2 linked regions of the Canis lupus familiaris genome follow. The protein of the gene in region 2 purifies or fractionates together with the protein of the main gene of each other region. This does not show direct contact. Links are inferred from orthologs where the notes say so. Each region holds a gene or a part of one and is shown on either strand. Other genes may lie near its edges.

Region 1 (9,486 bases), on a different chromosome or scaffold from region 2:
ACTATACACCTGAAACTAACATTATATGTCAATTTTACCGGATTAAAAAAAAAAAAATCAAGCCTTAAAGAATGTTTAGCATGTAGATTAAGGATAACTGCTTCATCCTTCTAAACGCCAAAACACCCAGAACCTTGGCAAATCTAAGAATCAGAGGAGGTTCTATGGAATGGTTTGAGAGCCCTTGCCCTGCCCTGCCCCCTCCGAGGTTCTATGGGTGACACTCTCACAGCCCAGGACTGTCCTTTCTCACAACAAAACCTTTGCCTTCACCAAGGGGCAGGCTCTGAGGCTGCTGACCCTCCCTCTCCCTTCTCTTTTCATCACCTGCCAAGGCCTGTGCTACTATAATTATCACCCATCACATCCACCGTTTCTCATATTCTTACAATTCATGTTATAGAATATATCTTCCGTGAGTTACCGTAGTTTTGTAACATAATTTAATACCAATATTCTATGTGTCATATGTTATTATATATATTAGTATCACGATAATTTCTAATGTTGTTTTACTATTTTGTACATGCTTAGGGCTATACATGCATTTTCTCACCCAATCTTTTTACTTATCAAGATATAAATGGATATGAAACACTGTATTGGGATCCCTGGGTGGCGCAGCGGTTTGGCGCCTGCCTTTGGCCCGGGGCGCGATCCTGGAGACCCAGGATCGAATCCCACGTCGGGCTCCCTGCATGGAGCCTGCTTCTCCCTCTGCCTGTGTCTTTGCCTCTCTGTCTCTCTGTGACTATCATGAATAAATAAATAAAATCTAAAAAAAAAAAAAAAAAAACACTGTATTACTTGCAGATGTACAACATAATGATTCAGTACTCACAAATATTGCAAAATGACCACCACAGTTAAGGCTAGTTAGTATCCATCACCACAGAGTTACAATTTTTTTCCTCTTTTTTTCTTTTTTGAAGTAAGCTCTACACCCAACACGGGGCTTAAACTCATGATCTGGAAATGAAGCATCGCATGCTCTACCAAATGAACCTGCCAGGCACCCCACAATTTCTTACGATGAGAACTCTTTTTACTTTTTAAATTATTTTTAGAGAGAGAGATGAAGACAGAGACAGAGAACACGAGTAGGAAAGAGGGCAGAGAAGAGAGGGAATCCTGAAGCAGACTCCCTACTGAGCATAGAGCCCAATGTGGGGCTCAATCCCAAGACCCCTGAGATCATGACCCGAGCTGAAATCAAGAGTGATCCCCGGGTCCTGGGATCAAGTCCTATATCGGGTTTCCTGCATGGAGCCTGCTTCTCCCTCTGCCTGTTTCTGCCTCTCTGTGTGTCTCTTATGAATAAATAAATAAAATCTTAAAAAAAAAAAAAAAGCCAGGGGATCCGTGGGTGGCTCAGTGGTTTAGCGCCTGCCTTCAGCCCAGGGCATGATCCTGGAGACCCGGGATCGAGTCCTGCATTGGGCTCCCTGCATGGAGCCTGCTTCTCCCTCTGTCTGTGTCTCTGCCTCTCTCTCTGTGTGTGTCTCTCATGAATAAATAAATAAAAATCTTTAAAAAAAAAAAAAAAAAAGCCAGATGATTAACTTACTGAGCCATACAGCCATCTGCGTATGATGAGAATTTTTAAGACCTACTTTTTTAGTGACTTTCAGATATACAATAGAGTATTAACTATAGTCACCATGCTGTACAATACATCCCATACCAATTTGTTTTATAACTGGAAGTTTGTACATTTTGACCCCCTTTGCCCATCTCACCCTCTCTCCTCTTGTCCAGTCTTATCAACTGTATAAAGCAGGTAATTATCCCCATATTACAGACAGGAAGACTGAAGCTCCACTATAAAAATCACCTAAGAATACACAACTATTAAGTTTCAAAGCCAAACAAGCTGGAGTGCAAGACTCCAGGAACTGCCTTTTTAACTTCTCTAAGGCTGGGGAAAAGGTGTGTTTGTTTGGGCCACCTCATCAGGAGTCAGAATTTGATGTGTGAGAAGTCTGTGACTGTCTGAGAGATCTGGTCTTGGGGATTTAGGACTCTGGTTGGATGGAGGCTTAGGGCAAGGGGAGAAATGGGCACGCACCTCAGGATGAATACACAGGTTCTTCCGGGAGCTCAGAGCAAGCCCCAAAAATGGCAGCTTCTCACCCTCCTGCTTCTCATAGAAGTTGAGCAACTTTCGCAGCTCTTCAATGACCTGTTCCAGTCAAGGATGGAGGGGGACTCCAGCATAAGACCCTGCCCAGCCTGGTCCTTCCCCAGCTTTCCCAACACCCCCTGAAAGCTATGAGGGCAACCACCCGGGGTCCAGCAAGTCCTGTGGGAGTGGCGGAGCCCCAGGATGGCCCTGGCTCACCTTCTCAATCTCAGGCACAGTTCTTGAGCAGTAGATGAGTTTAGTCACTTCCAGTGGATATGCCTGCCAGTGACAATGAGCTCAGCCCCTGTTGGGACCCCTTTACTCTGCTTCCCTCCCTGGGCCCAGGGGGCACTTACCCTCTGGTATGCCATGATCAGTGCCAACAGGGACACTGTCTTCCCAGTGCCTGAGGGCATCTCCAGGACTCCATGACCCTAAGTGTTGAGAGAGACAGATCTTCAGGGATACAAACTCTGGGGACCACTCCCAGAATGCCACCATCTTGAAATATAGAGACAACAGCAGGTAAAAAGCTAGGCCCCAGGGGCAATGGGTTTGAACCCCACTTTTGCCACCTCATTGTTGAGTGGTCTTAGGCAAGTACCTTCACCTATCTGGCCTCACCTCACCTCTAAAATGGGCCAAGGGATTCCTAGCTGGCTCAATCGGAAGAGCATGTGACTCTTGATCTCAGGTTTTCAAGTTCAAGCCCCATGTCAGGTGTAGAGATTACTTTAAAAACAAACTTTAGGGCAGCCCCGGTGGCGCAGCAGTTTGGCGCCGCCTGAAGCCCGGGGTGTGATCCTGGAGACCCGGGATCGAGTCCCGCGTCGGGCTCCCTGCATGAGGCCTGCTTCTCCCTCTGCCTTTCTCTCTCTTTCTCTCTAGGTCTCTATGAATAAATAAATAAAATCGTAAAAAAAATAATAATAATAATTGTCTTTAAAAATAAAAAAAAAATAAAAAAAAAAAACTTTAGGGGCACCTGGGTTGCTAAGTCAGTTAAGCATCTGACTTCAGCTCAGGTCAAGATCCCAGGGTCCTGGGATACAGCCCCTCATCCCTGCTCAGTGCGGAGCCTACTTCTCCCTCTCCCTCTGCCCTCCCCCGTGCTTGGGTGTGTGCTCTCTCCTCTCTCTCTCTCAAATAATTAAAATATTAAAAAAAAAAAAAAAAAGAAAACATTTTAGGGCAGCCCTGGTGGCTCAGCGGTTTAGCGCCACCTTCAGCCCAGGGCATGACACTGGAGACCCAGGATCCAGTCCCACATCAGGTTCCCTGCATGGAGCCTGCTTCTCCCTCTGCCTGTGCCTCTCTCTGAGATCTCTGTCTCTCATGATTAAATAAAATCTTTTTTTTTTTAAAAAGTTAAAACTAAAAAAATAAATAAAACTGGGCTCATAAGTACTTCTTCAGATCATGACTAAGGACTAATGAGAAACTGAGGGTTGAATATTTGGCAAAATAACTGATTTGTAGCAATCCATTTTTTTTCTTTAACTTAGCAAATAAGTTACAGCACTTACTCTGTGCCTGGCACCACTTCTAAGATTCCATCCAGTTTTCTTAACCTAGGCTCTACCTTTGGGGGCCAGATAATACCCGGTTGTGGGGGGCTGAACTGCGCACTGCAGGATGTTTAGCAGTGTCCATGGTCTCTAACTACGGGATGCCACTAGCATTCCACTCCAATAATATGACAACCAAGGCACGGTCTCTGCGGCGGGGGGGGGGGGGGGGGGGGGGTGTCAAAATCATCCCGGGTTAAGTTACTGAAATTAACCCACATAACCTTCCCCGTAACCTCCGAGAGTAGGCAATCATACTAAGCCCGTTTTACAGAGGTGAAAACTGTGAAACAGGGAGACGAAGGGCTTCACCCAAGGGCACACAGCTGTGGGTCGAGGATTCCAACCCAGACAGCCGGCTCCCAGGCGCGCAGCCTTTGATAAACGTCAGGTGCTGCTATCACGAACTATCCTTTTAGGTAACCGGAGGTCTGGGAGCGGGCCGGGCCCCCACCTTGGCGTCCAGCGTGCGCTTGAGCTCCAGCATGTAGGAGAACTGCTCCGGGTAGATGTAGTCGTAAGGGAAGTAGACCAGCAGCCCGTCCACGTTGAGCCTGGCGGCGGGGGCGGCCGGGTCAGTGCCCCGTCCCGCAGCCCCTCCCCAGCCGCCACGCTCCCCTGCCGTGGGGCCCGGAGGGGTCACCTGCGGGCGCCGGCCCCCCCACCACCACCCGGGCGCCCCCCAGTTTCCTAGGAGCCTCGGGTCCCTCCGGCATCACCTCGCTGACCGTCCCCGTTACCGCCCCGCGGGTCCCCGCGGCGATCCCCACCCCACTCCCCCAGCACCCCCTCGCCCCGCCGGGACCCCGGCAGCGCCGCCTGGGCCTCCCCAACTTCTTAGCCTGCCCCCCGCCCGACCCCCACCAGCCGGCTCGCGAGGGGCGAACCCCAGACCCCCCTCACTTCATGGCGCCGGGCGCTGCGAGAAGCGGCGTCGACCCGCCTCCCTCATAAATATTCAGAAAGCAGGACCCGTGGGGCGTCCTCGAGGTGCCGCTCCACCTTTCTCACGACTCCATTGGCTGATCCTGCCTGTCACTCTACTGGGGCCGGCTGATGCGCATGCGCACAGCAATGCGGGGGCGGGCTCCCGGGAGAAGAGGTGCGGAGGCGTCGCTGAGGATCGCAGAGTACCCAGAGCAACACTTGAAGGAAGAGAACCGAGATCATCGATCCCATTCATTAGGATTTGGTCTTCTGGCGTCTGCCCAGATCACCTGGCAGCGGATCCTCTAAAAGAACCGACAAGGAAATTGAGGACATTTACGGAACCCACGAGTTAGGAATGGCTTCATCGCACCAGACTAACGTGCACCTGTAAAATGCCTGCTGTGTCCTAGACTTCTCTGGGATAAATAACTCCTCCTATTTGGTGAACGCCCATGGTTTGCCAGACAGACACTGTCCTTATCAGGCAGTCATGCAAAGGCACTGTCGCTTGGTGGCTAAGGTGTGGACTCTGGAACCAGGATGCCTGGGTCCAAATCCTGGCCCCAGTGTCTACCAGCTGTGTGACCTTGGTCAAATTAACTTGTCATCCACAAAGTAGGAACAATAGATTATCTATAACATGAGGGCACCTGGCTGCGTTAGTCGGTAAAGTAGGGGACTTTTGATCTCAGAGTCATGAGTTTAAGCCCCACATTGGGCACAGACCTTACGTTACAAAAAAAAAAGTAAAAAATATTTTTTTAAAAGATTACCTACAGGGGCAGCCCCGGTGGCGCAGCGGTTTAGCGCCGCCTGCAGCCCAGGGTGTGATCCTGGAGACCCAGGATGGAGTCCCACGTCAGGCTTCCTGCATGGTGCCTGCTTCTCCCTCTGCCTGTGTCTCTGCCTCTGTGTGTGTGTGTGTGTGTCTCTATAAATAAATAAATAAATAATCTTTAAAAAAAAGATTACCTACAATGTAGATGATGCTTACTTAAATTAACCCTCATAAAACAGTTAAAATTGGGTTTAGCGCATCCTCAGCATTCAGTAGCTAGTAGCTTTTATGTGATTGTTCATCAAATAGATATGGGATCTCTACTGTGCTAGGCAGTAGACAGCCCCTGCTCATGTCCTCAAAGAACGGACATTAAACATACAGGTAAATATATGGTTACAAGTATGACAAGTACTTTGATGGGAAAATTCTGAAAACCATAAGGGCTACGTATGGGAAACATGCTGTCAACCAAAGGAGGGTGGGTGGAGTGGTCAGAAAAGCCTTCCTTGAGGAAATGAGGCTTGAGTAGACATAGAAAGTATGAGAAGGAACCAACCAACCAAAGGAGATAGATGTGAGAAAGGGCAAGCCAGAGGGAACATTGTATACAAAAGCTCTGCCGCCAGAAGAAAGCTGATGTGTCCAAGCGCTGAAGGGAAGCCTGTATAGTTGAAGGATGAAGCTGGAGGGAGCGAGCGATAGGGCCAGGCCAAAGATCCAAAGATTCTTAGGATTCACCTTCAGAATCCTAACCAGCATACCCCCTCCTCACCCCACACCAGCCTACCTTACCTCTGTGATCCCCTCCTCTCTTGCTTAGCTCATTCTATTTCAGTCCCATCATCCTCTGTGCTGTTTCCAGAACACTCTAGGCACATCCTACTTTAGGCCTTTGCACCTGCTACATCATCTGCCTGGAATGCTCTTTCCCCTGACATCCACATGGGTGGACCTCCTCATATCCTTCAGGTTCTGCCTCCAATGTCACCTCCTTAGTGGCACCAAATTAAATTCAACCCCCTACACACACACACACACACACACACCGACTCATACACTACCCACTGCAGTTCCTTTGCCTGCTTTGTTTTTCTTCAGAGCCCATCTAACAATCTGACATACCAAATATTTGACTTTTTAAAAAGATTTTATTTATTCATTTGACAGAGAATACAAGTGGGAGAAGTGGGAGAAGGACCCTGGGATCATGACCTGAGCCAAAGGCAGATGCTTAACCAACTGAGCCACCCAGGTGCCCCTGACTTATTTATTTTGTTTAGAAGGTCAGCTCCATAAGGACAGGGGTTTTGTCCATTTTACTCACTCCTGCATCTGTGGTCCTTGCTGCTGTGCCTGTCACACAATGGAGCATCAACAAATATCTGTTGAAAGGGCAAAATAAGCGAGGGTGGAAGGTGGGGGTGGAAGGGGGAATGGTCAAATTTGCATTCTGAACCCATAAGTCACTGGGGGTGCCTTGTGTCACATGAACCAGAAGGAGTAAGACTGACAAACAGAACCAGTCAGTGGCTCAGGCTAGGGTAGTGGAGAGAATTATGTCATTGAATCCTCGTGGTGGTCCTATAAATCACGTGATTTTATTACCCCCATTTCACAGATGAAAAAGCAGTCTCAGGTGAGGTGAGTTGCTCCGAGCCCGTTTTATTCCGGTATCTGTGTGTCTATGTCTGTGCCGTGATAGTTTCTGGAGCTGGTCTGGGCAGAGAAGGAGAATGAGGCTTGAATTTGAATTCTCCGATGAGCTGAGATTAGAGAAGGAGCTTCATTAACATGACTACGGGGTTCAGCAAGAGACACACAAGGCAGGAGGGAGTGGGCCACCCAAGGTTGTGACTTCCTTCAAAATCTTCTCTTGGGACTCCTGGGTGCCTCAGTGGTTGAGCATCTGTCTTTGGCTCAGGTCATGAACCTGCGGTCCTGGGATGGAGTCCCACATCAGGCTCCCTGCATGGAGCCTGCTTCTCCCTCTCCCTATGTCTCTGCCTCTCTCTCTCTCTCTCTCTCTTTCTCATGAATAAATAAATAAAATCTTTAAATAAAAAAAATCTGCTCTTTCATTTGTTAATTCATTCACCCATCCTATATTACCTGAGCCCCTACTTTGTGTACATTCTGAGCTGCGAAGGCAAAAGGCACCCAGCGGTGACCAAGACAGCCTCAGCCCTGTCCTCCTGGGGCACATAGCCCAGTGGAGGAGACAGAACCAACCCGATGGTGATGACCCACAGTGAGCAGAGCTGGGATAGGCGTGGGATGGGAATAACTGGTGCTTATATCAACAAATGACATTTGCTATACAGTCATATGAATGATAACATACTTCCAAAGTTAGACAAAGTCTCTAAAAATAGGTCTTAGGGAGCCAGTAGGATTCAGAGTGGTGCTGATGGTGGGGACAGGGGTCAAGCCAGTTCATGAGCTTGTTGACATGACCCTGAGCCTGAACCAAAGCTACACATACACTGATGCTCCTTGCAGTATCACGTCCAAGGAGAATAAAACAGAGAACCTGCACAGCATGACTTCAGATCATTGGGAGTAAACCATGGTAATGCTTTCCCACTGTTTGTGCCCCCCATGCAGTAACCAGCCCCATCCTGCTGCTCACTCTCGTGCTTTCTACTTGTCTCTGATGGTGTCCTGTGCCATCTCCCCCACCTTATCCTGCCCTCCCTCCTCCTCCAGGTCTCAGATATCCCTCCTCCAGGAAGCCCTCTCTGACCCCCCCCAGTCTGGGCCAGGCACTTTCTCTGGGCTCCCCCAGCCTATCCGTGATTACTTTGCTCAAGCGGGGAGACGGGGAAGAAAGATGTCTTTTTTATTATTATTATTATTCATAAGAGACACAAAGAGAGAGGCAGAGACATAGGCAGAGGGAGAAAGAAGCAGACTCCCTGTGGGGAGCCTGATGCAGGACTCGATCCCAGGACCCCAGGATCACGACTCGAGCCAAAGGCAGATGTCAACCACTGAGCCACCCAGGCGTCTCAAAAGGACGTCTTAAAATCAAGAATATAATAAAATGAAATTGAGTATTGGACTGACATGAGCCAGGCGTCATACTAAGCGTTCTGCTCCCTGCCTGACATCATTTCTTACTGTTCCCCCTGCCCCCAAGCTACTCCTCCCAGCCACACTTGGCTTCCTGACTCTTCCACGCAGGCACCAGACCTGCACAAGTTGGCTAATCTGTATAACAAATCACCCCGAAGTGTAATAGTCCAGAACAACACCATTTATTATCTCACGGTTTCTGTAGGTCAGGAATTGCACACAGCTGCAGACATCCCAGCTCATCTGGGAAACAATCCACTGCTAACCTCACCAGGTGGTTGCTGGCAAGATTCATTTCCTTGCTGGCTGTTGGCCAGGACCACCTTCAGGTCCCTGCCACATGGGCACCTCTGAAGGCTGCTGGCTTCATCAAATGGAGAAGCAAGAGAAACCCGAGAGAGATGCCAAGAGGGAAGTCACTGTTTTTTCTAATCTGATGTCAGAAATGACAGTCCATCCCTTCTGCTGTGTCCCATTTCTTAGAATATATCTCAGGAGGGCAGCCCGGGTGGCTCAGCGGTTTAGCACCGCCTTCGGCCCAGGGTCTGATCCTGGAGACCCGGGATCGAGTCCCATGTCGTGCTCCTTGCATGGAACCTGCTTCTCTCTCTCTGCCTCTCTCTCTCTCTCTCTCTCTCTCTCTCTCTCTCTCTCTGTCTCATGAATAAATAAATTAAAATCTTAAAAAAAAAAAAAAGAATACATCTCAGGGCACCTAGGTGGCTCAGTCTGTTGAGCACCTGACTTTGGTTTCAGCTTTGGTCTTTATCTCAGGACCGTAGATGGAGCCCTGAGATGGAATCCACGCTGGGTGTGGAGTCTGCTTGAGATTCTCTCTCCCTCTCCCTCTCTTTCCACTCGTGCTCCTGTCTCTTTCTCTCAAAATAAATTTAAAAAATCATAACAAAGCAAAAAAGAGGGGCACCTGGGTGGCTCAGTGGTAGAGCATCTGCCTTCAGCTCAGGTTATGATCCCAGGGTCCTGGGAGATGAAGTCCCATATCGGGC
Region 2 (8,767 bases):
GGGAATTACTGAAACCTGTGGTAATTACATTTTAATTTTTTGAGGAACCTCCATACTGTTTTTCACGGTGGCTACACCAGTTTGCATTTATCTGGGAGATATTTTTAAAGGTAGAATAGCTGTGTTTTTCCAGAAATAAATTTTGTTTTGGGTATTTTTTTTTTTTTTTAATTTTTATTTATTTATGATAGTCACACAGAGAGAGCGAGAGAGGCAGAGACACAGGCAGAGGGAGAAGCAGGCTCCATGCACCGGAAGCCCGATGTGGGATTCGATCCCGGGTCTCCAGGATCGCGCCCTGGGCCAAAGGCAGGCGCTAAACAGCTGCGCCACCCAGGGATCCCTGTTTTGGGTATTTTTGATTATGATTATATGTAGTCATTGTATAAAGCAGTGACTAAGAGACTGGTGTAAGCCTAAACCTATTAATGAAATTTCTTACGCTTTGTGTGTGTGTGTGTGGTTTTTATCTGTATTAATGGTGATGACAGTTTAGCCATTTTTTGTATCCATCATAATTTGCAATTTTTTTTTCAATTTTTTTTTTAAAGATTTTATTTATTTACTTAGAGCACAAGCAGGGAGAGTCTCAAAGAGGGAGAGGGAGAAGCAGACTTCCTGCTGAGCAGGGAGCCTGATGGGGCGCTTGTTCTCAGGACCGTAGGATCATGACCTGAGCTGAAGGCAGACACTTAACCAACTAAGCCAGTCAGGTGCCCTTGTAATTTTGCTTTTTGAAAATGTGTTCCTTAGGAGCATATTATGGGGCATAATAAACATGTAATTTTATGTTTATAACATCATTTATGTCCTCCCAAGTAAGCTAACTTGAAACAATTTTGTTGTTAATGTGCCCTCAGTTACAGTTCTACATTTAATCTTGCAAAGATAAAGGAGACCTTTATTTTCTTAATTCAGTTATTTGAATGTGTAATTGAAAAAGTTAAGGGGCAAGGAATAGTAGGTACTTGGTCCTTTCTTATATTGTTAATTTTGCCTTTCAAATTCATGATTTCCACTCCCTCTTTGTTTACTGGTTACATATAAGTCGCTACATGTTTTTGCTGTGGTCACATTTCTGAAGCGTTTATATGTTATGCGTTAAGTCTAAATAAGCTAACATATTTTTAATGTGTTGGTTCCTTCCCCCCTTTGCCAGATTAAACTTGGACATAGATCAGAAGCTAAAGATGGTGAGTATTTAATATAATCTGACAGAGCAGGAAAAGTTTTTATTTTCACTAAGGAAATAAGCAAAGTATTGGAATTATGAGAGATTCTAGATGGAGTTATTGCGGGATGCTGGAATAGTAAACTCAGGGTGGAGACTGAGGATAGAGACAGGATATTTGTGATACCCACCATTTGGATGTTAAGAGTATGTAAGTCATTCAAGTCATCTGAGTAAATGGAAGGCAACAAGGTTATAGTGGCTTGTCTTGCTGTTTTCATTACTCTTTAAGATGTTGTTTCAAGCAGTTTTTTATTTTTCTGGCCTTCTAATTTGAAAAATCAGGATACAAGGTCATGGAAGTACAGAAAGCTCACACTGAAATAGATGATGAATGGAAGAAAACATGTTTTTACCCTTCTTCCAAAGCCTTGTGTGCTAAGTCTTGTTTAGTCATCAAGAACTAGTTTTTATAAAACAGAACCCATCATCTGTCTATATATAATAGGCAGTACCAGAACTTATTTTTGAGTTCTATCCTTTGTATTGGGAAAGGTACTGTCTTACCACTATTTTGCTGTTAGCATCCAGAATCTGTTCCTAATATAACGCAAGAAAGAGGAAGCTATTGACTTATTCCTTTAATGTTACACACTGACACATTGTTATTCCAGCAGTCTTCTCAAGTGATATGCTACAAAATGAATAATTATCATGGTCATTGTTAAGCTATTTTCAAAATAAAGCAATATAAAAGAAAACCAAATGTCAAACAATTTGTCCAATAGCCTGTATTTTTCTATGGAGTACTCACTGCCATTTCCTGAAAGACTAACTTGTCCCAAAAAATATGCTTGTAAGGAGATTTGAGATTTCAGAATTATTTTTCACATTTTGCTTTGCTTTTTCATCTAGGTATAAACAGAACAGCTTTAAGAGAGATAAAATTATTACAGGAGCTAAGCCATCCAAATATAATTGGTGTGAGTATGATATGAGTTGTTTCTGGGATCTGGGACCCTGCCATTTCTGAATGAGGTAGATATTGATTGAATGCTGAGCAAGATGAATTGTTTTAGGTTAGCCTTGCAAAAAAGCTTTACAGTTTATCAGGATAATATGTATTTTCTATTCTCTTTAGTCCTGTAGGCAGTTGTCTTAAAAGCATTAAATATTAAAACATTTAATATTGGCATATAGCCTAATTATGTCAAAAATCATTTTGAAGCCTAGAGAGCTTTAGCATGTATAAGACCTTGAGTAAGCTTCCCTATAACTCAGTGCCATAATTCTTACCTCATAGGGTTGTGACAAGACTAGTTGATTTTTTTTTTTTAAGATTTTATTTATTTGAGAGAGAGAGACAGAGAGAGAGAGACAGAGACAGACATCACAAGCAGGGAGATAGAGGGAGAAGCAGACTCCCCACTAAGTGGGGAGCCTGATGCAGGACTGGGCCCCAGGATCATGACCTGAGCCAAAGGTGGATACTTAACCAACTGAACCACCCAGGCACCCCAGACTAGTTGATTGAATGCATATAAAGTACCTGGAAATAGAGCCTGACATAGAGAATGCATATATTGAATGATAGCTGCCATTGCTGTTTATAGGATTTTCTTAAAAACTGAGCACAGAATTGAAGATTGAGGTGAGATTTTCAATTATTTGTTTCTTAAACATAGCTCTCAAAATTTGGGGGGCGAGCTTAAGTATTTAGTGACTTTTTAAAAATAGTAAAGTTGAGGCGCGCCTACGTGGCTTAGTCGATTTCGTTTCTGACTTTGGCTTAGGTCATGATCTCCAACTCCCGGGATCTCCTGGGATCAAGCCTGGAGTCTGGCTCTCTGCTCAGCAGGGACTCTGCTTGTCCCTCTGCCTCTGCCCTTCCCCTTGCTGTGCTCTCTGTCTCTTAAATATTCTTCTTCTTTTTTTTTTTTTTTTTTTAAGATTTTATTTATTTATTCATGAGAGACATAGAGAGAGAGGCAGAAACACAGGCAGAGGGAGAAGCAGGTTCCATGCAGGGAGCCCCTTGTGGGACTCATGGAACTTCAGGATCATGCCCTGAGCTGAAGGCAGACACTCAACCGCTGAGCCACCCAGGCGTCCCTCTCTTAAATCTTAAAAAAAAAAAAAAAAAGTTTTACACCTCAAATTACTAATTCCTAGCAAGAAAAAGGATAAATGTCAAATTTAATAAAATCAGATTTAACAGAGTATTATCAGCAGTCTTCATGCTTGTTTAAATTTTTAAAAATTAGTTGGTACAGTATTTTCAAGTACTTTATAGAAAATCACATTATTTATTTATTTTTTGAATTTTGCTTTGCAGCTCCTTGATGCTTTTGGGCATAAATCTAATATTAGCCTTGTCTTTGATTTTATGGAAACTGATCTAGAGGTAAGATTAAGATTCCTAAGAGATTTTTTTTCTCTTTTTATCAAAAGAGAACCTGTTTATTTCCTACTTTCGAAGGTACTGTTATTCAAAGGAATATTTAATTTTTTTGGAATGTGAACGTACTCCTAAGTAAAGGATCTTCTGAATCATTTAGCCGTATTCCCAGTGTTAGATACAGAGATTTGGATTTCAAAACATTTCTATCTACCAAGCTCCCTCTACCTTATTGACATTATTTTTAGAGAAATGAGTATTAGGCCCTTGAGAATTTAGAGTTTCTTTTCCATATTATCACAGAATATCATCCTTTTGACAGCCAAGTTTTTTTTTTGTTTGTTTGTTTTTTTTTGAGAAAATGAGATCTTAGGCTTTTCCTTAATACTAATTAAGGAACCTCGAAAACTAACAACAACTGGAATTCTCATACACCGCTGGTGAGCATGCAGAATCGTACAGCCAGTTTGGAAAATAGTTTGGCAGTTTCTTAAACAGTGAAATACACTGCTAAAGAATGATCTAGCAATATGACTGCTAGGTATTTAAGAGAAATAAAAATATGTCTACCCAGAAATTAATTGGTACACAGATGTTCACTTTTGTTCATTATTGCCCAAACTTGAAACAATCCAAATATCTTTCATCTAGTTAATATAGAAACAAACTGTGGTACATCTTTAAAATGGAATACTGTTTGGGGATAAAAAGAAATAAATTGCTCATATATGTATATAACAGTAGAGAGGAATCTCATTACATAGATTGTGCTAAATGAAAGAACTCAGGCTCAGTCCAGGCTGTGTATTATATGATTCCATTTATATGATGTTCTGGAAAAGGCAAGAACTAAAGAAACAGAAATCAGGTCAGTGGTGGTCAGAGTTGGGAGTAGAGGGAAGTATTGGGCATAGAGGGGCCTGGGGCGATTGGGGTATGGGTGAGAGTTAAAAGAACTCTATCTTGATTATGATAATGGTTACACAACTGGATGTCTTTGTTAAAACTCATGGAACTGTGCACTAGAAAGGGCATATTTTGCCTAAATCTGATTTTTTTTTTTTTTTAAGAAATGGGATTGTTCTCTTAATTTCTCTGTTACTTCATTATTAGTATATGAAAATGCAACAGATTTCTATGTATTGATTTGTGTCCTGCAACGTTACTGAATTCATTTATCAATTCTAGTAGTTTTTTGGTGGAGTCTTTAAGGTTTCTTATGTATAGTATCATGTCATCTGCAAATACCAAAAGTTTACTTCTTGCCAATTTGGATACCTTTTATCTAAATATGATTTCCTTTTTTTTTTTTTTTTTAAGATTTTATTTATTTATTCATGAGAGATGCAGAGACACAAGGCAGAGGGAGAAGCAGGCTTCATGCAGGGAGCCCGATATGGGGCTCAATCCCGGGACTCAAGGATCATGCCCTAGGTCGAAGGCAGGTGTTAAATCACTGAGCCATTCAGACTGCCCCTCTAAATAGGATTTCTAAAAAAAGAAAATGATAACTTCTAGCTAACATATAAGCTTAGGAATAAACTGGCTTTTTTTTTTTTTCAATAAACTGGCTTTAAGCACAGTTCTCAAATAATGCATGAGAACTCAGTTGTGCACTTTAACTCAGCTCTATTTTCTTTGTTATCTTCCTTCATGGGCATAATTTCTCAATATAGTGGCTTATATCCTTAGAGTTTAATAATCTGTAAGGAAAGAAGGTGCTTTGTTCCCCTTGATTCTAGAAGTATTTGGCCTGTTTGATTAGCTTGGATCACATGTCCAACTCTAAAGCAGTCTTCTGGACAGCAGGCTTGAGTATGGTGGTTGGCTATGCCTGGGTCATGTATCTGCCTCTAGAGGCCACAGGTAGTGGTCAGTCCTGTTTTAAACAGGTGGTTTCCCAAAGGAATGTTGAATGCTATTATCAGAAGGGCTGTACATCCTGGGGCAAGCGAAACAACAGATGTTCACCATGTTAATGCCTTTTAAACAATGAAGTAGAAGAGAAAAAGCCCCAGCAGATACTTTCCCTAACTGGAAAATTCCGTTTCTGGAAATTCTGACACTGCTTCCTAAGGAGAGTTAGGCAGTGTTTCTTCAGATTCTCCCGTATGATGGATAAATTCATTATATGTCTGTGTGTGATTCTATATGATGTAATTTAATTGGAATAATTGTATTTTATATACTGGATTTACAGGTTATAATAAAGGATAATAGTCTTGTGCTGACCCCATCACACATCAAAGCCTACATGTTGATGACTCTTCAAGGGTTGGAATATTTACATCAACACTGGATTCTACATAGGGTAAGGTTTTTAACCAATTATGATTGACTTTTTACATTTTAGTCAAGTTTTATGTAACCAGTTATTACATAAATATTTGGTCTAAATACGTATATTATTAAAAATAAAGCCGGACCATTTTATCCCGTCTTCCTCTGGGTGTTCCCTTCAGTTATTCCACCAGGTGGTGCTAATGAGGACTGTAAAATACTATGTAAAATTTAGAAATGCAAGAGGCCCGGTTCTTCATTTTTTTCCATAGATGAATAGCTAATTTGCTGTGTCACCTGACCGAGGTTATAGTTTTTTCAAGGTCAGTAGCTGATAACCAACAGAGTATTAGAATCTAGGTCTTTTGGCTTTAAGTCCAGTATTCTTTATGCTATACTGTTGTGACAGGAAAAAAAAATACAGTGAGAGACTGGGTTAAATTATACATTGCTAAAATATTTTTAGAACAGCAATATTTCAGTAACTCTAAAATTCTGTGAAGTAATGAAATAAAGTTTCTGAAATGATTGAGTCAGTATTAGAAATATTTAGCTATTGAAACAAGGCTGACACTCTCTATAGGTAGATATTTTTAGGTACTCTATTTAGATAAATAGCTAAGAATATATAATTTATAGTCAGTAATTCTCGTACCTTAAACTTGGAATCCCTTTTAGGTTATTGCTAATATCTTTTTAGTATAGATTTTGAGGAATATGTTCCTCATTCTCTCTAAATGCATAATATTTTTATTTACTGAAGTTGCTGTGTATTACTGTTACTAAATTAATAGCAGCAATTATTTATTGAATTCCTCATTGTCATAGTAGGCTCGTTACAAAAAACACTAAATTTAATCCTCACAACAACCCTGTGAAGTAGGTAAATCCAAGGTCTCACTAAGTAATAAAACCAGTCTTTTGCTGTGGTAAGATTTTATATCTGATATGTTTAAATTTGAGGTTTTACCCTGTTTTGTTTTGTCAAGCCAACTAATTGTATTTTTATGGTATTCTCTCCCTCCTGCTTACTTGTTTATTTAAAACCTCCATGATACAGGATCTAAAACCAAACAACTTGTTGCTAGATGAAAATGGTGTTCTAAAACTAGCAGATTTTGGCCTGGCCAAATCATTTGGGAGCCCCAATAGAGCTTATACACATCAGGTTGTAACCAGGTAAGAATCACTTAAAAAACTGAAAGTTTATATTTTGCAGGATTAGTTTTTGTTTTTTTATTATTTTTTATTTTTTATTTTTATTTTTTTTTAGTTTTTGTTTTTTTAAAGTAAGCTTTTTGTAGGCCTAATAACATGGGGCTGAACTCAGGACCCTGAGATCTTGAGTCACATGCTCTACTCACTGAGCCAGCCAGGTGCCCCTATTGTATAGATATGAATCCCAAATGAGCATCGTTTGGCTTCTCTGAAATATCCCAGTAGAGTTAGGAATTGTTGGTGGTGTTTTACTAAAAATATGATTATGTTATGTTTATTTAACCACAATGAAATAATTACAGACATTTTTTCAGATGGAGTTGAACTAACTCAGTTTTCAGGCATTTGTCTAATAACTTTTGGGACTAATTTATACTACTTCTACAGTTTAGTTAGGTAAGTTGGAACTATAGTGGCTATTCTTTTACATATTCACCTGATTTGGGAGACCTGTGTTTATTTTATTGGTCAGTCACTGATTTATTTCATGTTTTATTTCACTCTGTGTGAATGAAAATGGTCTAAATAGAGCAACCCTGTCGGGACCTCTCTCACCCCTGAGAACTTTTTCTGTATTTAATAAAACTGTTACTGCTTTATTAAAAAAAAAAAAAAAGAAGAAGAAAGAAAAGTTTCTGAATAAAGCAGTGCATTGATATTTTGGTTTATCTTATTATTTGTACTTATGTTTTCTTTTATACTTTCTATGTAAAAAATAAAAAAAATCACATGAAATATATATGGACAGTAGGTTTTATAATTCTAGTCAGAATGTTTTTTTTTTTTTTAAGATTTTATTTATTTATTCATGAGAGATACACAGAGAGAGGCAGAGACATAAGCAGAGGGAGAAGCAGGCTCCATGGAGGGAGCCCAAAGAGGGACCCAGTCCCCAGAACCCAGGATCATGCTCTGGGCCAAACACATGTAGGCCTCAACAACTGAGCCACCCAGGCATCCCCAAATGTCATTTATTTATTTCCAAGATTCTTTAAGGATCTGAGAAGATCTTTAAATATTCTGTTCTTTTTAATAACTTTGTCACCTGGGGCACCTAAGTGGCTCAGTCTCAGTTAAGTGTCTGATTCTTGATTTTGGCTCAGGTTGGGAACTTAGGGTTGTGAGATCAAGCCCTGAGCCCTGCTTTGGGCTCTACCCTCAGTGGGTAGACTGCTTGGGAGTCTCTCTCTCCCTCTGCCCTACCCCTTGAGGTTTCCCCTCTCTCTCTCTCTGCCCCTCTCCCTACTTGTGCATGCATGCACGTGTGCGAGCTTGCTGTCTCTCAAAAGTAAATAAGTAAATCTCTCAAAAAAAAAGATAAATAACTTCGCACTTTCAAAATAGATCTCATTGGGTATCAATCACCTGAGCCTTAAGTAAGAAGTAAAGGATATAAGTGGTTATTGATGTACTTGATGGAGAGATACAGCACATTATTTAGGAACTCTTGGAACTGAAGAAAATGGACCCACGTATAAGTATTGTATACCAGTGCTTTATTTTTTTTTTCTTTTTTTAAAAGATTTTATTTATTTATTCATGAGAGAGAACAGAGAGAGAGAGGCAGAGACACAGGCAGAGGGAGAAGCAGGCTCCATGCAGGGAGCCCAATGTGGGATTCGATCTCGGGTCTCCAGGATCATGCCCTGGGCCAAAGGTGCTGCTAAACCGCTAAGCCACCCCGGGATGCCCTACCAGTG

The links.
Region 1: the proteins of CDK7 (region 2) and ERCC2 purify together in Homo sapiens (affinity purification with mass spectrometry; 10 studies listed by BioGRID and IntAct, counting the BioPlex papers as one, with this or other methods). This does not show direct contact. The link is inferred for Canis lupus familiaris from reciprocal best matches to the Homo sapiens genes CDK7 and ERCC2.

What each region holds. Positions count from the first base shown.
Region 1 is NC_049222.1:110,881,231-110,890,716, reverse strand, and holds the start of ERCC2 (general transcription and DNA repair factor IIH helicase subunit XPD), read right to left. Parts: upstream 4,665-9,486; 5' UTR 4,602-4,664; coding exon 4,597-4,601; intron 4,577-4,596; exon of another isoform or gene 4,558-4,576; intron 4,248-4,557; coding exon 4,148-4,247; intron 2,560-4,147; coding exon 2,482-2,559; intron 2,405-2,481; coding exon 2,342-2,404; intron 2,183-2,341; coding exon 2,069-2,182; intron 208-2,068; exon of another isoform or gene 1-207. UniProt on the Homo sapiens protein: ATP-dependent 5'-3' DNA helicase. Component of the general transcription and DNA repair factor IIH (TFIIH) core complex, not absolutely essential for minimal transcription in vitro.
Region 2 is NC_049223.1:53,556,633-53,565,399, forward strand, and holds part of CDK7 (cyclin-dependent kinase 7), read left to right. Parts: intron 1-1,159; coding exon 1,160-1,193; intron 1,194-2,086; coding exon 2,087-2,154; intron 2,155-3,506; coding exon 3,507-3,575; intron 3,576-5,769; coding exon 5,770-5,880; intron 5,881-6,909; coding exon 6,910-7,028; intron 7,029-8,767. UniProt on the Homo sapiens protein: Serine/threonine kinase involved in cell cycle control and in RNA polymerase II-mediated RNA transcription. Cyclin-dependent kinases (CDKs) are activated by the binding to a cyclin and mediate the progression through the cell cycle.